Anolis sagrei: one gene and its partner. The protein of the gene in region 1 interacts with the protein of each later gene in a biochemical or structural test. Links are inferred from orthologs where the notes say so. Each region holds a gene or a part of one and is shown on either strand. Other genes may lie near its edges. The genes, in order: torsin-1A-interacting protein 1 and torsin-1A-like.

Region 1 (9,960 bases):
GGTTCCCACTGCATCTGTTTTTCAGTTGTGGACATGGGAGCAAAATAGAATAGCTTTATTTGTCATTGTGCTATTTCACAACAAAATTACATGCCTTCCCCCCACACACCACAAAACATATCCATTCCTCCAAACTTCCACCACCACTGCACAGCCCCAATGCCACATCAGTGCAAAACCATGGAGTTCAACATAGCTCTAGGATAAAAGCTAGCTGTTTGTCCTTGTCTTTGTCACCCTGTACCGTCTGCCAAATGGCAATAATTCAGAAAAAAATATGATAGGTGAGATAGGTCCCCAAGAATGCTCTGAGCTTTCTTAAGGCAGGAGGAATTATAAAGTTATCCCAAAGAGGGGAGAAAGAGAGCAACTAACAATTTGCTGTGAAGAAGTGGTGACTCTTTGGTGCACCTTCCTCTCTGCCTCTGTGCTGCTACCAAACCATGCACAGATGCAGTAGATTAGGACACTCTACGGCACAGTACTAGAAAGTCTCCAGCAGTTTTTCCTTCAGTTTGCCAACTGTATAACCTCCTTGCTTCAAAAGACATGCTCAAAAGAAGCAGGAACACACACAAGACAAGGGGGGAAGCAGCCACCTGCACAGCCATCAGCAAAGTGTCTTTTTTTTTTTTTTTGGTCGTGTCAGGAGCAACTTGAGAAACTGCAATTTGCTTCTGGTGTGAGAGAATTGGCCGTCTGCAAGGACTTTGCCCAGGGGACACCCGAATGATTTGATGTTTTTATCATCCTTGTGGGAGGCTTCTCTCATGTCCCCGCATGAGGAGCTGGAGCTGATAGAGGGAGCTCATCCACCTCTCCCCGGATTCGAACCTGCGACCTGTCGGTCTTCAGTCCTGCCGGCACAGGGGTTTAAAAGGTAGGAGCTCTGAAGATGATTGCTGCCCTGTGTTTAAAGTTCCCTCCTTTCAGGATATTTCTGCCTCTTTTCAACCCTGGATTGTGTGATGAGCTCCATGCCTCTCTATACTTGACAAGGGGCTGAAATGCCCTACCAGGGGAAAAGTTCTCAATGTGATAAGGTGGTAAGAGGGCGAACAAATTGAAATTGAATCCAGACAAGACAGATGTACTCCTGGTCAGTCGAAAGGCCGAACAGGGCATAGGGTTACAGCCTGTGTTGGATGGGGTTACACTCCCCCTGAAGACGCAGGTTTGCAGCTTGGGTGTGATCATGGATTAATCGCTGAGCCTAGAACCTCAGATTTTGGCAGTGACCAGGGGAGCATTAGCACAGTTAAAAGTTGTGCGCCAGCTGCACCCATACCTTGGGAAGTCTGACTTGACCACAGTGGTCCACACTCTGGTTACATCCCATATAGACTACAGCAATGCGCTCTACATGGGGTTGCCTTTGAAGACTGTTCGGAAGCTTCAAATGATCCAACGGATGGCCTCCAGGATACTAATAGGAGTGGTGCTCAGGGAGTACACAACTCCTCTGTTGCGTCAGCTCCACTGGCTGCCAATTTGCTACCAAGCACAATTCAAAGTGCTGGCTTTAGCCTATAAAGCCCTAAACGGTTCTGGTCCAGCTTACCTGACCAAACGTATCTCTCCTTATGAAGCATCTAGGACAGGGGTCCACAAACTTTTTAAACAGAGGGCCAGGTCACAGTCCCTCAAACTGTTGGAGGGCCGGATTATAATTTGAAAAAAACATGAATGAATTCCTATGCACACTACACATATCGTATTTGTAGTGCAAAGATTACTTAAAAACAATACAATAATTAAAATGAGGAGCAATCTTAACAAATATAAACTTATTACTATTTCAATGAGAAGTGTGGGTCTGCTTTTGGCTGATGAGATAGGATTGTTGCTGTTGCTGTTGTTGTGTGCTTTCAAGTCGTTTCAGACTTAGGTTGACCTTAAGCGAGGGCTGGATAAATTACCTTGGAGGGCCGCATTCGGCTCCCGGGCCTTAGTTTGAGGACCCCTGATCTAGAAGCTTAAGATTGTCTGGGGAGGCCCTGCTCTCGATCCCGCCTACATCGCAAGCACGATTGGCGGGAACGAGGGACACAGCCTTCTCAGTGGTGGCCTCCCCGGCTATGGAATTCTCTCCTCAGGGATATTAGATAGTCCTCCTCCCTCCTGACTTTCCGAAAAAAGCTAAAATCTTGGCTCTTTGAGCAAGTTTTTGAGAATGCAGAGGAAAAGATAACATGAAACTATGAATGATGAACATGGAATGGCCAGGAAAACCATTTTAACAAGATGGCATTGGTGACTACATGTTTTAATGGTTTTTACATATGTTTTATATTGTTACGTTGATGTTTTTAATCGCACTTTTATGAATGTATGGCATCAAATCGTGCCAATCTGTAACACGTCCCAGAAGTACTTTATTAGAGACTAAGATTGTCCGCACAGTGCGCTTATTCAAAAATCCTTACATCTCACTCAGCATACTCAGCACTTTTTAATCTGTACCCATCACATTTGGCCCGGCCTAGATTTTATTGTGCCACGGTGTACTGTTTTTATTGCTTACTGTTATTGCTTAATGTTTTGATTTGCTTTTGGTTTATGTGTATTTGTTATATTGTTGTTTTATTGAGGCCTTGGCCTTTGTAAGCCGCATCGAGACCTTCGGGAGATGTTAGCGAGGTACAAATAAAGTTAATAACAATAATAAATAACCCGCCTTGAGTCACGGTATGGTTGAGAAAGGCGGACTATAAATGTCGTAAATAAAGACCAAACGGGCAGTACTTGTTGTTCATTCGTTCAGTCGTCTCCGACTCTTCGTGACCTCATGGACCAGCCCACGCCAGAGCTCCGTCGGCCGTCACCACCCCCAGCTCCTTCAAGGTCAGTCCAGTCACTTTAAGGATGCCATCCATCCATCTTGCCCTTGGTCGGCCCCTCTTCCTTTTACCTTCCACTTTCCCCAGCATAATTGTCTTCTCTAGGCTTTGCTGTCTCCTCATGATGTGGCCAAAGTACTTCAACTTTGTCTCTAGTATCCTTCCCTCCAATGAGCAGTCAGGTTTTATTTCCTGGAGGATGGACTGGTTGGATCTTCTCGCAGTCCAAGGCACTCTCAGCACTTTCCTCCAACACCACAGTTCAAAAGCATCGATCTTCCCTCACTCAGCCTTCCCTAAGGTCCAGCTCTCACATCCGTAGGTGACTACAGGGAATAGCATGGCTTTGACTATGCGGATCTTTGTTGCCAGTGTGATGTCTCTACTCTTCACTATTTTATCGAGACTGGACATTGCTCTCCTCCCAAGAAGTAAGCGTCTTCTGATTTCCTGGCCACAGTCTGCATCTGCAGTAATCTTTGCGCCTAGAAATACAAAGTCTGTCACGGCCTCCACATTTTCTCCTCAGGAGATGTTAGCGGGGTATAAATTTATTTATTTATTTATTTATTTAAATACTTATATACCGCCGTTTCTCAGCCTAGCCAGCGACTCAACGCGGTTTACAGCATAATATAACAGTCAACAATATACAGTTAAAAGCATAAAAACATAAAACACAATTCATACATCAATACCAATCCAGTTCAGCTCTTAACTAAAAACGTGATCCAGTTCGTCGTCCATATTGCCAATCCTTTATTATTAATAAAGTTAATAATAATAATAAATAATAAATATCTCGCCTTGAGTCACGGTATGGTTGAGAAAGGCGGACTATAAATGTCGTAAATAAAGACCAAGCGGGCAGTACTTACGGTGAGGGAATATCTCGCCTTCTGAGAAGCCGCCTTCCTCCTCCTCCTCCTCCTGGTACTCTTCCTGGGGCTGGGGCTGCTGCTCCTCGGCCTCATCCTGATCTTCGGCCCTCCTGTACGGCGTGGAGGGTTTCTGGCGGGAAGAGCGCAGGCGGTAGGCGGGCGCGTCCTCCTCCTCCTCCTCCTCCAGGCCCTCTCCCCTCTCCGGCCTCGGCTTCATCTTCGCCCGCTTCCCCAGCGGAGTGGCAAAAGGCCCTTCCGCCGAGAGCTCCAGCACTTCTTCGGAGAACCTCACTTCCCGCCTCGGCCGAGGAGAGGAAGGAGTCGACGTCCGGGGCCGGAAGTTGACAGCGCTGTTGCTCCCGCGGCCATTTTGGGAAGCGCTTTCCCTCAGAGGCCGCCTGGGGGTCACGTGACCGAAGAGCCTCCCCTCCCCGCCCGCGTGCATGGCGGGCCCCGCCCACGCGCCGCTCAGTCTAGTCTCCCTTCTGCGCCTGCGCGGCTTGCCTTTTGTTGGCTCAGTTACAGAGCACCCCCTTTTCCTTCTTCCTAATATTCAGCCCAGTCTTCCTCAGCAGGGCGCCTCTCCCCCTTCAAAGGCCTTCGGAGCCTCGGCAGGGTCCCTTAGCCAGGCAAAGGGGCTCCTCTCCGGCTTTCAGAGCGCAGCTGCTCCCGCCTCCGCTTCCCTGGGGTCCTGCTACATCGTAGGGGTTGCGTTGGTTGTTGTTGCCAAGATGAGAAAGTGCCCTCAAGTGAAAGAAAGGCCCGGCCGGTCCCCGAAGCATTCCCGGCCTTCGAGTCAGCAAATGAGAAAACAAGCCCGGAGTCCAGCCCATCAGCTGCTTGTGGGAGAAAATAGGTCATCAGGGAAGGGAGAGATTTAAAGCACCCTCGCCTCCATCTGCAGGCCAGGCTCCCAGGGCAGCAGCAGCAGCAGGAATCTATCTCTATCTATCTATCTATCTTTATCTATCTATCCTTATCTATCTATGCTTATCTTTCAATCTATCTAATCTGTCTATCTATCTAATCTATCTATCTAATCTATCTATCTATTCCAATGTTTCTCAACCTGGGGGTCGGGACCCCCAGGAGTGTCGCGAGGGGGTGTCAGAGGGGTCGCCAAAGACCATCAGAAAACACAGTATATTCTGTTGATCATGGGGGTTCTGTCTGGGAAGTTTGGCTGAATTGTATCATGGGTGGGCTTCAAAATGCTCTTTGATTGCAGGTGAACTATAAATCCCAGCAACTACAACTCCCAAATGTCAAGGTCTATTTTCTCCAAACTCCACCAGTGTTCACATTTGGGTATATTGATTATTTGTGCCAAGTTTGGTCCAGATCCATCATTGTTTGAGTTCACAGTGCTCTTTGGATATAGGTGAACTACAGCTCCCAAACTCAAGGTCAATGCCCACCAAACCCTTCCAGTATTTTCTGTTTCTCTCATGGGAGTTCTGTGTGCCATGTCTGGTTCAATTGCATCTTTGGTGGAGTTCACAATGCTCTTTTAATTTAAATGAACCATAAACCCCAGCAACTACAACTCCCAAATGACAAAATAAATCCCCCAACCCCACCAGTATTCAAATTTAGGCGTATTGAGTATTTGTGCCGAATTTGGTCCAGTGAATGAAAAATACATTCTACATATCGGATATTTACATTATGATTCATAACAGTAGCAAAATTACAGGTATGAAATCGCAACAAAAATGTGGTTGGGAGTCACCACAACATGAGGAACTGCATTAAGGGGTCGCAGCATTACGAAGGTTGGGAACCACTGATCTAATCTATCTATCTAATCTATCTATCTAATCTATCTATATACATAAATAAATAAATAAATAAAAATGTAATGTTCATTTGTGGGATTAACAGAAATCAAAAACCAGTGGGCCAATTGACACCAAATTTGGACAGCATACACCTAACAACCCAATGTATGTCCTTCACTCAATTTTTTTTTTGATTTTGTCATTTGGGAGTTGTAGTTGCTGGGATTTATAGTTTACCTACAATCAAAGAGCATTCTGAACCCCATCAACGATGGAATTGAACCAAATTTGGCACACAGAACTCCCATGACCAAGAGAAAATACTGGAAGGGTTTGGTGGGCAGTGTCCTTTGGTTTTGGAGTTGTAGTTCACCTACATTCAGAGAACACTGTGGACTCAAAAAACGATTGATCTGGACCAAACTTGGCACGAATACTCAATATGCCCAAATGTGAACATTGGTGGAGTTTGGGGAAAATAGAATCTTGACATTTGGGAGTTGTAGTTGCTGGGATTTATAGTTCACCTACAATCACAGAGCATTCTGAACCCCACCAATGATAGAAATGGGCCAAACCTCCCACACTGAACCCCCATGTGGGCCACAGCGACGCATGGCAGGGGACGGCTAGTATATATATATATATGGCAGTGGGGACTCAGGGCCCTTCCACACATCCCTGTAGCCCAGAATATCAAGGCAGAAAAACCCACAATATCTGCTTTGAAATGGGTTATCTGAGTCCACACCCAAGATATGTGGGATTTCCTGCCTTGATGTTTTGGGATATAGGGCTGTGGGGAAGGGTCCTATGAATAAGGAATGAAATCGAATCATGGGTCTTGTCTTTGAGCATTCCACCCACCTGTATAAAATCCACATTGAACTGGGATATATGGCAGTCCGGACTCAGATAATCCAGTTCCAAGCAGATATCTGCCTTAATGTTCAAGGGCCCCTTCCACACAGCTGAATTAAATCCCACATCTGCTTTGAACTGGATTATATGACAGTGCGGACTCAGATAACCCTGTTCAAGGCAGGTTTTGTGAGATTATCTGCCTTGATATTCAGGGTTATGTGGCTGTGTGGAAGGGCCCTGCGCAGGCATGTAGCCGGAGGGGGGGGGGGGCTCGGGGGGCTTCAGCCCCCCCCCTGAAATTTTCATGGTGGTTCGCGAAAAGGCCTTATTGGTGCATTATTTAAACTGTTATGTTTATTCATATCATGATCTGATCACCATACTCAATATATCCCATATGCATGGGGGTATTGGGGTAATGATACAAAAGGTTTGCTAGGGTACATCCTCTTTCACTCAGACTCAGCCCCCCCCCCCTGAAACTCAGCCCTCCCCCTGAAACCCCCCCTGAAAAAAAAATCAGCCCCCCCCCCCCCCCCCGAAACGAAATCCTGGCTACGGGCCTGGCCCTGCGTTTGTTCTTGTGAAAATTTTTCATGGCAACAAGAAGGCAGGCAACTATACACAACAAGTAGAGGATATGCACTTTCATTTCAGCAAGCTTGGCCATAACTTGAATGTTAAAGTCCATTATCTGTAGTCACTCAGGCCCCACACTTCCATATAAAATCCAGATTATCTTCTTTGAACTCATTGTACAGCAGTGTAGACTCAGGTAATCCAGTTCAAATCAGATAACATGGATTATCTGCATTGACAATCTGGCTATATGGCAATATAGAAGTGGTCTGAGGCCCCATCTATGCTGCCATATAAAATCCAGAATATCTGCTTTAAATTGGATTATATGGCAATGTAGACTAATATAAATCCATTCAAAACAGATAATATGGATTTTATATAGCAGTGTAGATGGGGCCCTAGACCCGTTTCCAGAGAACTGTGGACCCCTCTACGCTGCCTTATAATCCGGATTATCCATGCAGATAACCCACATTATCTGCTTTCAACCAAAATCGGGATGGTAGACATTTGTTTTCATGTTGGCTGCCAAAAGATCAATTTTCTATCGGCCCATTTTGGGGGGAGGGGGAGTGCTTCCCAGGCTCCCATTCCCGTCATTTTAGACATTTAAGTTCTTTTACTCTAGAGGAGATGCACTCAGCTGCAGACAGGTGTGTTCTGCGCACGCTTTAAGGAGGCTTATTATCTATTCGAGAGGAGGTGCTTGGCTGCAAGCAGGCACAGGTGATTTCGGCAACCATACACACGCACACACTCTTTCCTAGGCAAGTTCTCATTCTTACTCTAGAGGAGGCACTTGGGTGCAGGCAGGGGTGTGGACTTTCTGGGTGTGCATGCCACACATACATGCACCCTGTTTCCAAAGCAAGGAGACAACAGGTAACTTCTCATTCTTACTCTAGAGGAGGTGCTTGGCTGCAAGCTGGCCTGCATGCCACACACACATGCACTCTCTTTCCAAGGCAAGAAGGCATGGAGCGCCACATACTCACGAAAAGCAGGCAAGGAGCCGGGATTGGCTCCTGCTTGCTTTTGTGCCGAGCTGATTTTCCTGCCAGGAGTGGGCTTCCCATTACATGCTCCCGAAGGTAACGAAGTAACAAAAGAATGGATGAAACAAAGGAAAACGGTTCCGCACACAACTCTAATTAAAGAGATATGTGGCTCTCTTACATTTGGTCAGTGAGAAAACTGGTTAGCCTACTCTTTGTCTTGTGTATGGTTCTGCGAGCTGCAACCATGAAACTTGTCAATTAGACAAATCCATCGAGAATGTAATAGATTAGACATTTTTGCAAAAGAGTACTCAGGCTATCGATAGCTGTTAGTTATGATGGTAAAACATTGCCTCTAGAGTCAGAGGTAGCGTGCTTCTTAATGCTAGTTAGTGGAGGAATGACAACTAATGGAGGCCATTGTTTTGTGTTGTGAGCTTCCCTGGAGTATCCAGTAACCTCCTGTGGAAAACTTGATATTGACCTAGATTGTTCTGATTCATCAAGATTCCCCTTGTGTTACCATTGTGGCACTATATTTTATTCATGACAGCAACACTATTTGTCATCATCACATGAATGGGCAGCACTTTCTCTTTAGCTCTGAGAGTGGTCATGCACATTCCATGATATCCAAACAGTTCTGTAAACAGATGTCAAGAGGCCTGCATTTAAAAATAATTATGAGCTTATGCTCTAATTTAAGTGGTTTTAAATTTAAAATAGCATGGTTCAGCAGCTAGGATGAGTACTGTAAATGTACTTTGGGACATTACTACAATTAGTCATAGCTTAACTGAGTAGCCTTCAGCATGTTTTTCATGCAGTAGACCATGATGGCTTTGAAAGACAGCAGATCACAAGAGCTGTCTTCATAGACCTGTCAGCGTCTTATGATACTGTAAACCACCGCCTCCTCCTGACAAAAATGTATAATATCACAAAGGATTACCACTTCACCCACCTCATAGGAAATCTGCTACAAAACAGGAGCTTTTTTGTTGAATTCCAGGGCTAGAGAAGCAGATGGCGGAAACAGAAGGACGGCCTGCCTCAGGGGAGCGTGCTTGCTCCATCCATGTTCAATATCTACACAAATGACCAGCCACTACCAGAAGGGACAGAAAGTTTCATCTATGCTGATGATCGTGCCATTACCGCTCAAGCAGGGAGCTTTGAGATGGTTGAACAGAAGCTATCCGAAGCTCTAAGTCAGTGGTTCTCAACCTGGGGTCCCCAGATGTTTTTGGCCTACAACTCCCAGAAATCCCAGCCAGTTTACCAGCTGTTAGGATTTCTGGGAGTTGAAGGCTAAAAACATCTAGGGACCCCAGGTTGAGAACCACTGCTCTAGGTGCTCTTACTGCCTATTACAGGGAAAACCAGCTGATCCCTAACCCATCTAAAACACAGACATGTGCTTTTCATCTTAAGAACAGACAAGCATCCTGATCTCTGAGGACTACCCTTCAGGAGAGAATGCTTCTGGAACATGGCCAGACAGCCCGGAAAACTTACAGCAACCCACTGAAGCTTTTGACAATACAACAACAACAATAATCTATATAAATAAAAATGTAATGTTCATTTGTGGAATTAACAGAACTCAAAAACCACTGGACGAATTGACACCAAATTTGGATACAAGACACCTAACAACCCAATGTATGTCCTTCACTCAAAAAATTGATTTTGTCATTTGGGAGTTGTAGTTGCTGGGATTTGTAGTTCACCTACAATCACAGAGCATTCTGAATCCCACCAACAACAGAATTGGGCCAAACCTCCCACACAGAACCCCCATGACCATCAGAGTGGGCCACAGCAACGCGTGGCAGGGGACGGCTAGTCTATATAAATAAAAATGTAATGTTCATTTGTGGGATTAACAGAACTCAAAAACCACTGGACAAATTGACACCAAATTTGGACACAGGACACCTAACAACCCAATGTACGTCCTTCACTCAAAAACATTGATTTTGTCATTTGGGAGTTGTCATTGCTGGGATTT
Region 2 (9,693 bases), on another chromosome or scaffold:
ACATTTATATTTAGAATAATGATAATAATAATGATAATAATAAGTCTGGTGTCAGTCATCTATATCTTGTATTATATATTTGTATTGACGCAGTTTAGGATTGCATTGGCCTTTTTAGCTGCAGCATCACACTTTTGACTCATGTTCAGTTTATAATATGATAAGACCTAATGATGATAATAATAATAATAATAATAATAACAACTCAAGCCTGGTGTCAGTCATCTATGTCCTATATTATATATTTGTGTTGATGCAGCTCAGGATCGCATTGGCCTTTTTTGCTGCAGCATCACACTCTTGACTCATGTTCAGCTTATAATATGATAAAACCTAATAATGATGATGATATTAATAATAATAAGTCAAGCCTTTCTCTCACCGCAGCCTTTGAAGACATGCTGGAAAACCCGTTGAACAGCACGCAATGGATGAACGACCCCGAAACGGGGCCCGTCATGCTGCAAATCTCCCGCATCTTCCAGACGTTGAACCGCACGTAGGAACCGAGGGCGGAAAAGCCCGATTCATATCCGCTGTGCCATTTTTGAAGGACTTTCCCTCCTTTTGGGGGAGGGCAGAAATCCGTGTGTTGGGTGTGTCATTATTATTATTATTATTACGATAATTATTTTATCCCTCTCCCTCCATTACGAACTTTTTGTTTCCGTTTGCAGTGTGGCTTTCATTTTCCTTTGAGCAGAAAAGGGCCCGAAAAAAAGTAGATCTTTTTGGGATTCATAGTTCAACGGAGGAGGCCCTGGTTGTACTATACATCCCAATTCAGGGCCACGCTTTTAAACTCTTGGAGCGTGGCCACGTCGTCGGCGTTCAAGCCAGTTCCGTTTGGGGATCGATTAAAAGCAGGCAGTATTTGGAATGTCTTCTTCAGCTGTGTCTGTGTTGAAAATGCAGAAGGCTTTTTAAAACCGGATTTTTGTGTGCGTTGTTTTATTATTATTATTACTATGTTATTAAATGGGGAACAAAGGAGTGAATTAACCCCTCGTACAGGATCAAGTCACAGGGAGAAGCCAGGAATACATTTATTATTGTTGTTATTTCATCAATTCTAAAAAGGTAAAGGTTTCCCCCTTTACCTCTGGGGGTTGGTGCTCATCTCTAAGACGAAGAGCCGGCGTTGTCCATAGACACCTCCACTGGCAGGACTGCATGGAGCGCCGTTACCTTCCTGCCGGAGCAGTACCTATTCCATCTACTCCCATTTACATGTTTTCAAACTGCTAGGTTGGCAGAAGCTGGGGCTAACAGTGGGAGCTCACCCTACTCTCTGGATTTGAACTACAGACCTTTAGGACAACTATTTCATCAGCTCATTAGTTTAATCTGCTGCACCACTGATACTAAGAAGCCCTTATTTATTCCAATATAAACATCTCCAAAAAATGAGATTCACAGGTACTTTTGGAAACAGAAATACAGCTTTTTTCTGTTTTGATGATACTGAAATTAGTGAGTGCCTTAGAACTGATGAAATAAAGTATTATTATTATTATTATTATTCCAAGAGTAAAAGAGAGAGGGGTCCAGGGGACACTTCCACCTTGTCTCCTGTGCTATTCTAATATAATACAGTGTAATATAATATATTGTCTATACAGATAATATTTATAATATTATAATGTAATGCAATATAATACTAATAATAATTTAATTATAAATTTATATTACATGTAATATTACTAATAATACAATATAATGGTATAGTACAATAGAGTAATATTTAATACTGATGTTGTACTATGTCGATAATATAATAGTATATTGTATGTATATATACCTTGTAAGCTACTCTGAGTCCCCTTCAGGATGAGACTGGCGGCATATAAATTTCATAAATAAATAAAAAGCAGGGATATTATTATTATTATTATTATTACAATATAATGGTATAGTACAACGTAGTAATCTGTAATACTAATATTATGCTATTATAATAATATAATGTTTTTTATTTACATATTACTTGTAAGCTGCTCTGAGTCCCCTTCGGGGTGAGAAGGGCGGCATATAAATGTCATAAATAAATAAATAATATCCTACTTTTAAAAAACTATTATTTTAATTATTATTCTAAGAGAGTTAAAAGTTATTAATGTCGTCATCATCCTTTTTCCTCTCTTAGAAGAGATGGAATTATTAAAAGCAAAGCTTATTATTATTATTATTCTATGATTAAAAGCAGATTGTCGTTAATAATAATATTTTGCTTTTTACTACTACTAATAATAATTTAATTTACCATGTGTAAATTAAAACCTAAGACATAATAAACCTCAAAAACAGAATTAAATACAGGACTACGATGAAAAAGCTGTTAAAATACATTAAACTCTTGCAATTAAATTTAGGACTATTAATTTTTTTTAAAAAAAAACCCCATTAAAATAGAAATAGAAATGCAGCACCCCCCTAGGCTCAGTTATTAAGTGGGAAAATATCTTTAAAACCAAATAGGGAAAGGAATAAATCTGGTTTAAAATTAGCAAGAGGGCGCAATGCTCGGTGTGTCCACATAGTATTACACATAGTAGTCCTGGGCAGAGAGATACCCCATAGGCGTCAATAGAGGTGCACAATACCAAGGGGGCGCAATGCTCAATGTGTCCCCCGGAGGGCGGCAAAGGATTGCACATCCTGGACAGAGAGATGCCCCATACTTACTTCTTACTTTACTTAGGCGATCCCTCGTAGTCTGAGGATGATGGTCCTCCAAGTGTAGCATTCTGGCAGTGGGGCCATAGGGGACTGTGGAGCCCTATTCTTGACCCACATGTTCTCCTGCAGTGAGGGCATCGGTTTCCAGGTGGAAGGCCGTCCTGGTTGGGGTTGGCTTGACGTGCCTTCCTCTTGGCATGTATCTCTCTTTCGCCCTTCATTTGTGCCTCTTCCAATTCTGCAGCACTGCTGGTCCCAGCTGACCTCCAGCTGGAGCACTCAAGGGCCAGGGCTTCCCAGTTCTCAGTGTCTATGCCAGAGTTTTTAAGGTTGGCTTTGAGCCCATCTTTCAATCTCTTTTCCTGTCCTCCAACATTCTGTTTTCCATTCTTGCGTTCGGAGTAGAGCAACTGTTTTAGGAGACGGTGGTCAGATATCCAGACAATGTGGCCGGTCCAGCAGAGTTGATGACGGAGGACCATTGCTTCGATGCTGGTGGTCTTTGCTTCTTCCAGCACGCTGATGTTTGTCCACTTGTCTTCCCAAGAGATTTGCAGGATTTTCCAGAGGCAGAGATGCCCCATAGGTTTCAATGGAGGGGCAGTATTATATGATTTATTTACGACATTTCTATGCCGCCCTTCTCATCCTAAAGGGGACTCGGAGTGGCTTACAAGATATATATGCATACAATATATTATATTATTAGCAGAGCACAATATCAGCATTATATATTTGTATACTGTATTATACCATTATATTGTAATATTATTAATAATATAACATGTAATATAAAATATAGAAATATAATGAATTATTATTAGTAGTATATTGCATTACATTATAATCTTATAAATATTATTAATAATACATGTAATATATATATAATTAGAATACCATATTAGTAGCATATTGTATACACTATATATATACATATTATTAATAATACATGTAATATATACAAATATTATATCATATTATTAGTATGTTGTATACACAGTATATATACATATTATTAATAATAGATGTAATATATACATATAATTATAATGTGATATTATTAGTATTATATTGTATACACAGTATATATATAAATATTATTAATAATAATTTGTATTGGATATGTGTTTTATGCTTTTAAACTGAATATTGTTGTTTTTTAAGTGTTGTAAACCGCAATGAGTCGCCGATTTAGGCTGAGATATTAGCGGTATACAAGCGCATTAATAAATAAATAAATAAATAAATAAATAATAATACATGTAATATATAATTATAATATATTATTAGTATTATATTGTATACACAGTATATATATAAATATTAATAATACATGTAATATATATATAATTATAATATCATATTATTTGTATTATATTGTATACACAGTATATATAAAAACATTATTAATAATACATGTAATACATATGTATATATATACATAATTATAATATATTATTAGTATTATATTAAATACAGTATATATATACATATTAATCATACATGTAATATATACATATAATTATTAGTATTATGTTGTATACACAGTATATATATATACTATATATTATATTATACTATATTATTTTATTATCATAGCATATAGAATTGGGAAAGGTAGATTGAATAGGCAGGGCAGTGTGTATCCAAAGTATAATAAAGTGCATTATTATTAAATAAGCCACGCCCCTCGCTCCGCCCATTAGGGGGTAGCTAGAATGGGATAGGCTGGGTGTGTTGAGGAATAGGCCACGCCCCTCGCTCCGCCCATTAGGGGGTAGCTAGAACGGGAACAGCAGTGTATTAAGCGTTAGGCCACGCCCCTCGCTCCGCCCACTGGTATGGCTAGAATGGAAAAGGCAGTGTCTATCGAACAATAGGCCACGCCCTTCGCTCCGCCCATTAGGGTTACTAGAATGGGAATGGTGTATTAAGCATTAGGCCCCGCCCCCTCGCCCCACCCACTGGTGTGGCTAGAATGGGAAAGGCAGTGTCTATTAAGCAATAGGCCACGCCCCTCGCTCCGCCCACTGGTGTGGCTAGAATGGGAAAGGCAGTGTCTATCAAGCAATAGGCCACGCCCCAAGCTCCGCCCACTGGTGTGGCTAGAATAGGAAAGGCAGTGTCTATCAATCAATAGGTCCCGCCCCTTGCTCCGCCCATTGGTGTGGCTAGAATGGGAAAGACTATCAAGTAATAGGCCACGCCCCTCGCTCAGCCCATGTGGGAGACTAGAATGGGTTTGTATTGAGGAATAGGCCACGCCCCTCGCTCCGCCCATTAGAGGTGCTAGAATGGGAAAGGCAGTGTGTTTGGGAATAGGCCCCGCCCCTTCGTGCTGCTGGAATGGGATAGGCCGTGAGTCTCGTTTAAGCCACGCCCCCCTCCTCCCCGCGGGCCAATCCCGTCGCTGCGGCGTTGAACTCCCGCCCGGCCCCAAGATGGCGGCAGCGGGACCGGAAGCGCCTTCCCTGAGGGCCCTCCGCCGCCAGTAGAGCGGAAGTGCCCGTCGTGAGGCGATGCGGTGGCGGGTGTGGCTGGCGACGTGGGTCTTGTCGGCGGGCCTGGCCGGGGCAGTGGAGCCCTTGAGCCTGAGCCTGGCCCTGGCCGGCGCCGCCGCCTCCGCCTTCACGGGCTTCCTCTCCTACCCGCGCCTCTACTGCCTCTTCGCCCACTGCTGCCACCAAGGGGACGGCGCCCAAGTCCAGCCAGGTCAGTCAGGCAGAGGCCTACCTGGCTGCCTGAGGGGCTGTCACCTCAGAAAGTGGGAACTGTATTAACATAATAATGTCATGCTTATATTGTCACTATTAGAATAGTGCTATTATTTCTTCCTTAGTATATATTATTATATTGTTATATTATCATTATTGTGAATACTTATAATATTGGTAATATTTATTTATTTATCGTCTCATCAGCAACCATTGTATTACAATTCTAACAGAGCAAAACAAACACACAGACTAAAAAGAAAAAGGAAAAAAAAACACACAGATTTTGCAAATTTGGTAGTTGGTTAAATGTCCTTTGACCAGTATCTGGCCACTTGGAGTGCCTCTGGTGTTGCTGCAAGAAGGTCCTCCCTTGTGCATGTGGCAGGGCTCAGGGTGCATTGCAGCTGGTGGTCAGTGGTTTGCTCTTCTCCACACTCACATGCCGAGGATTCCACTTTGTAGCCCCATTTCTTGAGATTGGCTCTGCATCTCGTGGTGCCAGAGCGCAGTCTGTTCAGTTCCTTCCAAGTCGCCCCGTCCTCTGTTCGACCAGGGGGGAGTCTCTCATCTGGTATCACCCTTGGATTGAGGCTCTGGGTTTGAGCCTGCCACTTTTGGACTCTCGCTTGCTGGAGTGTTCCAGCGAGTGTCTCTGTAGGTCTTAGAAAACTATGTCTTGATTTAAATCGTTGACATGCAGGCTGACACCCAAACAGGGGATGGGCTGCAGATGTCTCTGCCTTGGTCCTTTCACTATTGGCTGCTACTTCCCGGCGGATGTCAGGTGGTGCAATACCGGCTAAGCAGTGTAATGTCTCCAGTGGTGTAGGGCACAGACACCCTGTGATAATGCGGCATGTCTCATTAAGAGCCACATCCACTGTTTTAGCATGGTGAGATGTGTTCCACACTGAGCATGCATACTCAGCAGCAGAGTAGCACAGCACAAGGGCAGATGTCTTCACTGTGTCTGGTTGTGATCCCCAGGTTGTGCCACTCAGCTTTCGTATGATGTTTCTAGCGCCCACTTTTTTTTGATGTTCAGGCAGTGCTTCTTGTAGGTAAGAGCACGGTCCAGAGGGACTCCCAGGTACTTGGGTGTGCTGCAATGCTCCAGTGGGATTCCTTCCCAGGTAATCCTCAGAGCTCGGGATGCTTGTCTGTTCTTAAGGTGAAAGGCACATGTCTGTGTTTTAGATGGATTAGGGATCAGGTGGTTTTCCCTGTAATAGGCAGTAAGAGCACCTAGAGCTTTGGAGAATTTCTGTTCTACCATCTCAAAGCTCCCTGCTTGAGTGGTGATGGCACGATCATCAGCATAGATGAAGCTCTCTGTCCCTTCTGGCAGTGGCTGGTCATTTGTGTAGATGTTGAACATGGATGGAGCAAGCACGCTCCCCTGAGGCAGGCCGTTCTTCTGTTTCCGCCATCTGCTTCTCTGGCCCTGGAACTCGACAAAAAAGCTCCTGTTTGGTAGCAGGTTTCCTATGAGGCGGGTGAGGTGGTCGTCCTTTGTGATATTATACATTTTTCTCAGGAGGAGGCGGTGGTTCACAGTCTCATAGGCTGCTGACAAGTCTATGAAGACAGCTCCTGTGATCTGCTGCCTTTCAAAGATAGATAATATTATAATATTATATTTCAAAGATTGGTAATATTATAATGGGGTACAATATAATAATAATAATAATAATAATAATAATAATGCTATTATTTTTCCTTAGTATATGTTATTATATTGTTATATTATCATTATTGTGAATACATATGATATTGATAATATTATAAAAGGATACAATATAATAATATAATAGTGCTGTTATTTTTCCTTAGTATATATTTTTATATTGTTGAATTATCATTATTGTAAATACATATATTTATAATATTATAATGTGGTACAATATAAAAATAAAATATGTATGCACAATAATGACAATAATAATAATAGCGACTGGACTTAATGTCAGGGGAAACCTTTACCATTATTATTATTATTATTATTATATAGTTTATATTACATGTAATATTACTAATAATATTACAGTCTAATGGTATAGTACAATATAGTAATATATAATACTAATATTGTGCAATGGTAATGATATAATATATTGTATTTACGTATTACTTGTAAGCCGCTCTTGAGTCCCCTTCGTGGGTGAGAAGGGCAGCATATAAATGTCGCAAATAAATAAATAAATTGTCATTGTCATGGTGTATATCATTGTGATTATGACAGTAATGATAACAGTCAATATTAACGTAACATATAACTATGTGTATTCATTTGTTGAGGATTTCTGTTCCTGTCAAGCTGATCTCACTTTCCTATCCCTACCCAATTGTTCCACCAATTTTTATGTATCTAAAAACACTCAATAAAGATTTAAAAAAAAAAAAAAAGCTGATCGGTGTGTCTTTTTCTCTCCCCGTCTGCAGTGCTACAGGAGAATTTGGACAAGAAGCTCTTTGGGCAGCATTTGGCCAGGAAGGTGATAGTGAAGGCCGTGACAGGGTTTCTGAACAACTCCAACCCCAAGAAGCCCTTGACGCTTTCCCTGCACGGCTGGACCGGGACCGGGAAGAACTTTGCCAGCAAAATCCTGGCCGAGAGCCTCTACAAAGAGGGCCTCAACAGCAAATATGTCCACCAGTTCATCTCCACCTTGCATTTCCCTCACCTGCAGAACCTCACCCAGTACAAGGTAAAGCACAGAGTCAATGATCTGGGCATCATTCTTTAGAGCTGGTCGGGGTTTTAGTGCAAACTATACTCAGGAAAGTCTGGAGTTGCCTCAGTGGCACACAGAGGACAGCCATCCCTTCCCATTTATAATAATAATAATAATAATAATAATAATAATAATAATAATATGTAGTTTCCTTAAAGGCACACAGGACAGTTGTCCCTTATTTATTTATTGACTTATTTACGACACTTATATGCTGCCCTTCTCACCCCGAAGGGGACTCAGAGGGGCTTACAATATATATATATATATATATATATATATACACACACACATACATACATACAATATATTATATTATTAGCATAATACAGTATCAGTATTATTTATTTATTTACAACATTTATATGCCGCCCTTCTCACACCGAAGGGGACTCAGAGCGGCTTACAAGTTAAATGTAAATACAATATATTATATTATTATCATAGCACAATATTAATATTATATATTACACTGTACTATATATTACTATATATATTAGATATTACTATATTGTGCTATTCCATTATATTGTAGTATTATTAGTAATATTACATGTAATATAAAATATATAATTATAATATTGTATTATTATTATTATATTGTATTGCATTATAGTTTAAATATATGTATATACAATATATTACAATGTATTATATTATTAGTGAAGCATAGGAAACAAGATGGAATCCTCTTCTGCCCCTCTTTTCACTCTGGCCCAAAGCCGGGGCGGGGGAGAGGGGGCTCCCAACTGATGACATAGGCAGGAGATAAGATTAGTAATAATAATTACCTTCACATTTAGTAATAATAATGATGATGATGATGATGTCTGCAGTTGGTTCAGTGGCAAACACACAGTCATGCCTTTACATTTATAATAATTACAACAAAAACAATGTTATCTCCGTTTTTGTCAGTGCCAAACAAAGGACAGTCATCCCTTCCCATTTATAATAATAATAATAATAATAACAACAACAACAACAACAACAAAACAGCAGTATTAATAGTATTAAGTAATAATAAAAACAATTAAATTGTTTAAAATATATTAAAATACACAAACAACAATATATAAGTACTGTATGCTTTTTTAAAGTTGCATTTGATTCCTATACTGTAACTATAATAATAATGATAATGATGATTGTGAAAATAATAATGATAATAATATTTTAATTATTACCTGCCTCTGCTGACAGCTTGAGGCGGTATACAAACCATATGAACATAAAGTACAAACAATAACATACATGGATAAAAACACACAGATATATTTCAAAAACATACACCAAACATAAGTATAAAATTAATATATAGCATCAATAGAACGCGAATCAAATCTCATGATTGGAAGTTGAGTGGAAGAGATGGGTCTTCTGACAGCTTATTATTATCATTAATAATAATAATATTATTGCATAATTCTCTAGATTTATTTGCTAAATAGTCAGCCCCTTAGACTCTAGCTCTGTATGTGAAACGAATCCTGAGACTGTTGATAAGGAACCTTTGGCCTGTTAGATGTTGCTGGACTTTGATGCCTGGAAGTCTCAATTGC

What was found.
Region 2: the proteins of torsin-1A-interacting protein 1 (region 1) and torsin-1A-like form a complex in vitro, tested with the Homo sapiens proteins (2 studies listed by BioGRID and IntAct). The link is inferred for Anolis sagrei from reciprocal best matches to the Homo sapiens genes TOR1AIP1 and TOR1A.

Annotation. Positions count from the first base shown.
Region 1 is NC_090024.1:125,723,869-125,733,828, forward strand, and holds the start of torsin-1A-interacting protein 1, read right to left. Parts: upstream 4,561-9,960; 5' UTR 4,167-4,560; coding exon 3,719-4,166; intron 1-3,718. UniProt on the Homo sapiens protein: Required for nuclear membrane integrity. Induces TOR1A and TOR1B ATPase activity and is required for their location on the nuclear membrane. Binds to A- and B-type lamins. Possible role in membrane attachment and assembly of the nuclear lamina.
Region 2 is NC_090031.1:3,864,252-3,873,944, reverse strand, and holds the start of torsin-1A-like, read left to right. Parts: upstream 1-5,155; 5' UTR 5,156-5,198; coding exon 5,199-5,391; intron 5,392-7,838; coding exon 7,839-8,104; intron 8,105-9,693. Other genes in the region: UBAC1 (ubiquitin-associated domain-containing protein 1), read left to right, coding at 388-503. UniProt on the Homo sapiens protein: Protein with chaperone functions important for the control of protein folding, processing, stability and localization as well as for the reduction of misfolded protein aggregates.